Lonchura striata: one gene and its partner. The protein of the gene in region 1 binds, or shares a complex with, the protein of each later gene. Links are inferred from orthologs where the notes say so. Each region holds a gene or a part of one and is shown on either strand. Other genes may lie near its edges.

What was found.
Region 2: POLR1C (region 1) and POLR2F share a complex: the UniProt entries of both Homo sapiens proteins name them as parts of the pol I pre-initiation complex. The link is inferred for Lonchura striata from reciprocal best matches to the Homo sapiens genes POLR1C and POLR2F.

What each region holds. Positions count from the first base shown.
Region 1 is NC_134605.1:36,012,647-36,016,550, reverse strand, and holds the start of POLR1C (DNA-directed RNA polymerases I and III subunit RPAC1), read right to left. Parts: upstream 3,006-3,904; 5' UTR 2,968-3,005; coding exon 2,899-2,967; intron 2,808-2,898; coding exon 2,736-2,807; intron 2,654-2,735; coding exon 2,546-2,653; intron 2,025-2,545; coding exon 1,892-2,024; intron 1,788-1,891; coding exon 1,668-1,787; intron 1,502-1,667; coding exon 1,349-1,501; intron 1,191-1,348; coding exon 1,041-1,190; intron 532-1,040; coding exon 415-531; intron 101-414; coding exon 1-100. Other genes in the region: protein YIPF3, read left to right, coding at 3,071-3,151, 3,225-3,431, 3,511-3,617. UniProt on the Homo sapiens protein: DNA-dependent RNA polymerase catalyzes the transcription of DNA into RNA using the four ribonucleoside triphosphates as substrates.
Region 2 is NC_134607.1:23,581,331-23,585,234, reverse strand, and holds the start of POLR2F (DNA-directed RNA polymerases I, II, and III subunit RPABC2), read right to left. Parts: upstream 2,632-3,904; 5' UTR 2,537-2,631; coding exon 2,517-2,536; intron 2,410-2,516; coding exon 2,340-2,409; intron 2,219-2,339; coding exon 2,088-2,218; intron 598-2,087; coding exon 526-597; intron 1-525. Other genes in the region: C5H22orf23 (UPF0193 protein EVG1), read left to right, coding at 2,676-2,766, 2,923-2,985, 3,350-3,526. UniProt on the Homo sapiens protein: DNA-dependent RNA polymerase catalyzes the transcription of DNA into RNA using the four ribonucleoside triphosphates as substrates.

The DNA of each region.
Region 1 (3,904 bases):
TCCAGCTCATTGAGGAAACGCTGACACTTTCCCATCAGGATCTTGATGGCTTCACTTACCAGCACATCTGGAGGCAAGATACCTGTCGACTCCACTGAAACTGCACAGAGACAGACACAAGTCAGCACAGCCACGAGGCAGCCTCAGCCTCCATGCCCCTGGCTCCATGCTGCTGGCCCTCACCTTCCCTTGCACCTCACAGCAACAAGCCAGATCTTCACAGCCAGACAAGCGGCTCCCTTTGCCAGCAGGAAGCACCAAGAGATTCAATCCCAAAGCAAGTAGTTACTCACTGCGTTCTGAATGTATGGATGCTGAGGGTAGGAAGAGGCACAGAGCCAGCCATGCATGCTGGTCAGTCACTGCTTGCTCACACAAACCATGTCAGGACTCTGTGGAAAACGAGGCACTTACAGATGTAATGGTTCCGTACTCTTGCCAGGCGTACGAGGTTTTTCAGACTCTCATGTCGGAAAACTTCTCTGCTGAATGTGTCCAACCGTGCATTGGCTACTCTTGCCACCTTTTTTCCTAAAGGGAAGATGAAACGAGATGGACAAATTGCAGCAGGTGGATACCTTATGGTCACAACATGTGCTTACCTCAAACAGGCACTCCCTCCTCACCAAAGGCTGGGAGACACCAATAAAAAGAATTAGCATATACCCAACATGAAAGTCTAACCTGGCAGGAAAACCCAAACACAAAGCGTACATGCACCCCAGAAAGATACAAGAAGTCTCCACACTCAGCTGCTTTTCCAGCTCACTACCCAGTGTCACAACTGAACAGCACTGCAAGCTGCAGTCAACAGCTGCAGAGCTCTGCGGACAGGTATCCAATTTATTTCAGGGACATCCGTGTTTGTCACCCAACATGCTGCACATGGCAGCTACTCATCCATAAAAGTAGGCTCGGAAGAACATGAACCATTGATCAGCACAGCAACATTACATGTGGTTTTGTTTCTGCAAAGTTTGGCTCTAAGCTCCAATCTAAAGCTTGCAAGGAACAAGGCAGTTAGCGCAGGAAAAAAGTACCATTGATATTCTGGATCTCAATGACTCCAGGGGAGAAGCACTTCTGCAACATCTCAGCTGCCTCATCCTCAATAGGCTGCAGGAGAGTAATGTCAGGAAGCAGTCGATAACTGGCTGTGGCCACAGGAGAAAACTTGGCATGATCCTTACCTGTATGAAGAGTTAAGAGTCAAGGATGAGAGCAGGCCTCAGGGAACAAGGATGCTCAGGCCTGAAGTTCCAGGGGAAAAGCCAGTTCTCCACCCTTCCCCATCACACTGCAGTGCCCTACTCCAAACATTCCCGCTGCCCCAGGAGCCACGACTCACCTATACCCTTGACACAGTGCATAAGCACATCTATTTCCTGTCCAGGTCGCAACAGTGCAATGAGGATGTCATCATGAACAGGTCGGAAGTCAGCATCTGGGAAAAGGTCTGTCTGATTCCCCAGGGGCACCCATGTCATGTGTTTACTGTACACTGCAAAGAGAAGCCACAAGCATCAGCCAGCTGCTGTATAGGACTGGAGATAGCAAAAAGAAAGTTTAGCAGAATGGAATCAACTCTCCCTGTGAGCACACAGGGCTGAGAAAACAGCCCAAAACCAAAAAGAAAAAACAGCACCTATTTTTAGGAGCAATCTCACCTTTATGATTGAAATATAGTTCATCAGGATCAGATGATTCCTTGGCAGCCTGAGGGTTTCGTTTGCATTTGATTTTCAGCTGAAACTGCAGAGTATCAATTTCAGTGCCTTCCTGATCTCCTGGGAAGAAGCATATGAAATCACACTTCTGCTCAGTTTACACAACCCTGATTTCCTACTTTGAGAGAAACCTTCAATATTTCTATTCTGTTCAAGATTCTCACCTTGGTTTCTGTACTCAAAGAGCCTAGGGTCAGCTCGGATAGGGATGAGGCCCAACCGATGAGCCAGAATTTCATCCTGCACAATGGATGTGTTGTTGTACACAAACACCTTCTCTACAGCCATCGTTGGCACCTCAAGGAGACAAGAGATCAAGTCAGCTTAAGACAATAGTTGAACTACATGCCAAGAGATTATGCAGCTCAAGTGTCCCTCCTCTCCCACAAATAACTGCCAAGCAGACTATTTTGAGTGGTATTTCTACCAAATCAGGCTATGCAATATACCCGTACACCACATCTATTCCTATCCCCGTCTTTTTAAACAATCAAGAGATGAAGGACAGGAAAAAGGGCTTTGGGGCATCCTGAACCTGTTAGTACTTGGCAGCATCATGTGGCTTCTGTTGGGTTGGCCACGCAGCTGTGTTGAAATGGCTGACCCGCAGACACTACCAAAGCACCCCTAGGACCAGCAGGCGCTATTGCCCATGCTGCTAAAGTCCTAATTCTCTTTGGGCTCCTGGCACCCATGCGGAACGAACGTGTGCTTCTCTTCCAAAGCCCGCAGCTGTCCGCAAGGGCTGACAATGCTGGACATTCCACGCTCCCTGTCAAGCCAGGCTTAGGCCGGCACCACCAGGTGAGCAGAGGTACCTCGGCGAGCAGGATGCGGCGGAAGGCGTTGGCGATGGCGGCGTCGATGCCCACCATGTCGAACTCCAGGGCGTCCTCTTCCTCACGGATCACGTCCACGCGGAACGCCTGTGGGAGCCGCGCACCGCGGGTCAGCCGGCTGCAGGGCCCCGTACCCACGGGCAGCCCCGGCCCGGCGCCGCTCACCCACCTCCTCGAAGCGCCGCTGGTCCCAGGCGTCCTCGTAGCCGGGGTAGTTCCCGGGGAAGTCGGTGGTGTGGACCTGCGGGGAGAGGGCAAGGCGGGGCGGTGAGGGGGTGAGGGGGTGCGGGCGCCGGCCGCCCCGCCCCGTCCCGCCCGCCGGGCTCGCTCACGTTGCGCACGCCGAACTCGCCCAGCACCACGCGGTCCCGCATCTCGTCCGTGCCCCGCCGCGCCGCCATGAGCGCGATGGGCGGCGCTGCTGGCGGTGCTGCTGCGCCGGGAGGCTCCGTCACATCCGCTCCCGCCCATCCGGGCCAGCGCGGCGGGGCCGGGAGCGGCGCCATGGCCGCGCCGGGGGCGGCGGGCGGCGGCAGGAGCGGCGCCCCCGCCGCCGAATGGGGCGGCTTCGAGGACAACATGCAGGTGGGGCCGGGCCGGGGGCGGCGGGGCCGGGCCGGGCCGAGGGGGTGCTGACACCGAGTCTGCCCCGGCGCAGGGTGGTGGCTCCGCTGTCATCGACATGGAGAACATGGACGACACGTCGGGCTCCAGCTTCGAGGACATGGGGGAGATGCACCAGCGCATGAAGGAGGAGGAGGAGGAGGCGGAGGGCGAGGCGGGCGCCGGCGAGGAGGAGGAGGACGGGGAGTTCCTGGGCATGAAGGGGCTGCGGGGGCAGCTGGGCCGGCAGGTCGCTGACCAGGTGAGCGCTGTCCCCCGTCAGCCTCCGGCCCCGGGTCCTGCCTGCCCGCCCGGCCGCTGCCCGCTCCTTCTCTCCGCAGATGTGGCAGGTGGGGAAGAGACAAGCCTCCAGGGCCTTCAGCCTCTACGCCAACATCGACATCCTCCGGCCCTACTTCGATGTGGAGCCCGTCCAAGTGCGAGCCAGGTGGGCTGCGGGGAGGCAGCGGCTCCGAGCCCGCAGCAGTCTGGCTGCCAGGCCCGAGCGAGCGCCAGTTGCCCCCGCAGGAACGCTCACCTATGGGCAGACACATCGTGCCTTGTCCTGCCCGCCTTAGCGAGGTGCTGTGCTTGGGCTGGCAGCCCTGTCACCTGGCATTGCTGCTGAGTGTAGGAGAAGGGACTCTTTTTGTACTTGGCTGCCCTATGTGGCTTCTGTTGGGTTTGCAACACAGCTGTGTCCAACGAAGCAAAGTTTTGTGAGACTTTATGAGG
Region 2 (3,904 bases), on another chromosome or scaffold:
TGCTGTGGAAAAGTGGGCCTGCAAGTGGTCATCCAAAAGCTGCCTCTGCTGCAGTCAGAAAGGATTTATTCACCTTTCTGTAAGCAGGGGGAAAGGACAAGAAGCCAAGCACGGAAGGGTGCAGGAAATAAACATTCTCATCAGCCTAACTCTTATTTTAATTTTTGCTAGCACTTCATTTGAACACAGTTCTGTTCAGCTGGCTGCTTCAAAACAATTCCATTTGGGAAATTAAATCACTTCCCAAAAGATGAGGACCTTGGGATTCCATCACAGAAATAAATAATACTGGGAACATGAAGTAGAAGAGGTCCAGAGCACTCGTAATCATCAGTTTGCAGGAGCAAGTAGTCTGGGAGAGAGCAGCTGTGGAGAAACTACAAGATGAAGAAAGGAAAAGGCAACTATAGTACTTGCTCACTGTTATTGATGGAAAATAACGCTGTCTTAGAACAAACTGCTACATGTTGGGATGAGGAGAGGACTGCTGGCTTTACAGAAATCAGTACAAAATCTGTGACTTACTTGAGTTCTTTCATGGCAATGAGCAAGGGGTCTGTCTCTCCTTCCAGCTCCACCATCACAGGGGCACACATCCTAAGAAAAACATCAACAGCCACTTGAGCAAAAACACAGAGAACGAAGAGTTAAACACCTGCTTACCTGTGTCACCTCTACAACAGCCAATGAAGTAGGGGGGTGGGACACTATCCTGGCAAAACTGATTTGCTCTGTTGTGCCCTTGAAGGAGAAAATTCCCCCAGATGGTTACAGACCAAACTTTTACTTCAGTGCTCTTCTTCTCCCATCCCTAGGGGTCTGCCAACCAGCTCAAGCTCAGTGACTGGTCAAATCCACACTCTCCTAGTCGCCCTCTGCTGTATACTTAAACATGTAGAAAAGAATGGTTCTAAAATTAATCCAATTAAAAGGTTGCAATTGCTGTAAAATGAGCAGACCTTCTACAGCTCCAACACATCGTTTACATTCTGACCTGCTCACAGCTCCCAGGCTTCGATCAGGAGAAGAGAAGGGCTGGATTTACAAGGCATTTTACCTCTTGGAAGAAAAAACTCAGCATTTTGCAAAGGATTGTGACTACACCCATGACCTGGACAGTGGTGGCAGAGAAAGCTCATGTTATGTGTGGGTGAGGCCATGGGAGCTGCTGCTTGTCTGGGTTCTGAAAGTAGAAGTTGCTGGTGAAGCAGAACCAAGTGCCAGAGTGGATTAAAGGCCTGGCACAGCCTTTATCTCCCCCCATTCTTCTTGCCTCTCACCAACTGAAAGAACATGCATAACACAGCTTCACAGGCTGTGCAAAGAACAGCTTGCCTGCCTGTGAGCTTCTAAATGATGCACAAGAGAAGCCTCATTGTGAAGGTGGATATAAACAAGATGAAACTCAAACCCTTGCCAATGTCTAACATTCTCTCTCAGAAGGTAGTTTCCCAAAAAGCACACCATTTTAAATATTTATTATTAAAACAAATCTAAAAAGTCAAATGAATTAAGAGCAGCCAGCCTTGACAGCACTTAAAGTAAATTTTAAATGTTATTGTCTATTATAAATAAGGCCTTTTTATTGCAAATACTTCAATAACCTTACAGCTACCCACAATGCAACTGCATTTGGAACAAATTTCAGGTTGGTTTCTTCACTCCCAATTCCTACAGCCCTGAGGTATCAACTGAAGTTATTTTGAAGCATCTCTATCTCAAACATTACCTTTCACAAACCAGTCACGAACTCTCAAGTCCATGCTGACTCTCTGAAGAAAGACAGAAACCAGAACTGTCTTGTCCCATTCCCTAGTAATTTTGCCCGTGATCTAGGAAAACTCATTGTGGCTACTGAATGCTCCCTCTTTGTGCACGCGTAGTACAGTTTCAGGCAAGGAGAGACACACAGACTTCAGGTGCAATAAAGAGTAAGCTTCAGTTTGACCAGAGGGTGACATGCAAGCTCGGCAGTCATGCAAAGGATTCAGAAGACCTGGGAATTTTTAAGGGAAGAGGAAAGCTCTAATCAGTGTAAAAGGAGGCACAGCTGCAGCAGTGCTGGGGACACAGCAGGCAATACTCACGCTATCTGCAGGGCACGAGTGCCCAGGACTCTGGCTCGCTCGTACTTGGTCATGTAGGGGGTCGTGATCCGCTTCTGGTTCGCCTGCTGCCGTTCTCCCGAGGGCAGAATCTCCACGTTCTCCTGTCCCTCCTGGGAGAAACAGACCGCGCCGCTGCTCAGCCGCACCCGCCACCGAGGCCCTGAGGTGTGGGGGGAGCCGCTGAGGCCACCCCAGCCACAGCAGCCGCGCGGCCCTGCGAGCGGCACCCACCTCCTCCGCGTTCTCCAGGTCCTCCAGGCCCTCGTCCTCCTCCACATCGTCGAAGTCATCCCCGTCAAAGCTGCGGGAGAGACACACGCGTCGCACTTGTGGCCGGGCCGCCGCCACCCCGTTCCCTCCCTCCCTCCCTCCCTCCCTCCCTCCCTGCGCCCGCCGCCCCGCTCGCACTTGTCCTCGTTGTCGGACATGTTTCCCGCCGGGCGCTCCGGACCGGCGCTCCCGGGAGCAGCTTCCGGCCGCCGCCGTGACGCTGCCGGAAGTCATCGCGGGCCGTTGCCCTGGCGACCGCCGCCGCTGCCCCGTGCCGCGCGGGCGCCGCCCGTGGCGATGGAGGCCGCAGGGTGCCCGGGCCGCGGCGGGCTCTCGGCGGCGGGCAGGCCGGCCCGCTACAGCACAGGCACCCGGGAGTTAGTGAAAGGTAACGGCGGAGCCCGTCGCCGGTGTTGCCGCCCCGGCTGGAGTCTCCTAAACCCGCATCTTCCCTTTCGGATTGGGGTTGTGAGAGGAGGTGACCCTAGGGCGGGTTCTCCAGCCCGGCTCTGCTGCCTCTTCATCGACGCGTTGTGTTTTTCAGGGATGATGGAGGAGTTGCAGATGACGCATTCCCAGAAGCGATACCTGATGGCCTATGTGAAACGTGAGTGAGGCGCCCTGGCTCTCCTGCCAGTTGCTGTGCTGTGGTGTGGAGCTTTTGCATCTCGGCATTCGCCCAGAGCCTGCTCGGATGGGCAAGTGCTTTAAACCAGCAGCACAGCGGCTGCTGGCACATGGGGACAAGCGGGAGAGCTGTCCCCACGGGTCGCCCAGGAAACAAGGCGTAACGGTGTGACTTGAACCGCAGTCTGTCGTGCCCAGTGACCAGGGTGAGACATCTGGGGCACTGGGGTCTTCGTTTGTGATGCTGCTATAGATCAACAGGTAGATCTGCTGGTAATGGCCCAGAGCCATCCATTCAGAGTCCCTCCTGTCTGATTTGCTGTTATTTTTGGTTCGTCCCCCAGGCGGAGATGCCCTGCCCCTTCAGAGATTCTCCCCATCCAGCAAACAGCCAGTAACTGTTTCCTCCCCAGCAGCCTGTCAGCCACACAGGCTTCCAGCAAGACCGCTTCTCCGACCTGCCGGGGTCTGCCAGGCAGGGGATGCCTACACCCGGGAGAAATTCAAGCCACAGCCCACACGTAAGTCAGCGATCACTGCTAATAAATACATGGTGATGCCTAGAGCCTCTCTTCTCCTTCTGTCCCTCCCCTGCCTCAATCTCAGCAGTGGCAGTGCATCTGAATTGCTGTATCACATCCTCATGCTCTCAGTCTGCAAAGATGTTTCAGAAATGGATCTCTGAGGGAACATCTCCTGTAAGTGCTCGCTGACTTCTGCCTGCCAGCTGGGGGGTGACAGGCGATAGCGACCTGCACAGTCCCTGAGTAAGGATGGGGCACTACGTGATTTTTTAGCACATAAAGGTGAACCACACCTCTGATGTTGGTTTGGTGGGCGCTGTACACCCATGTGGTGCTTGCACACAGTCCAGGGATGGACTGACATTAATGAAACAC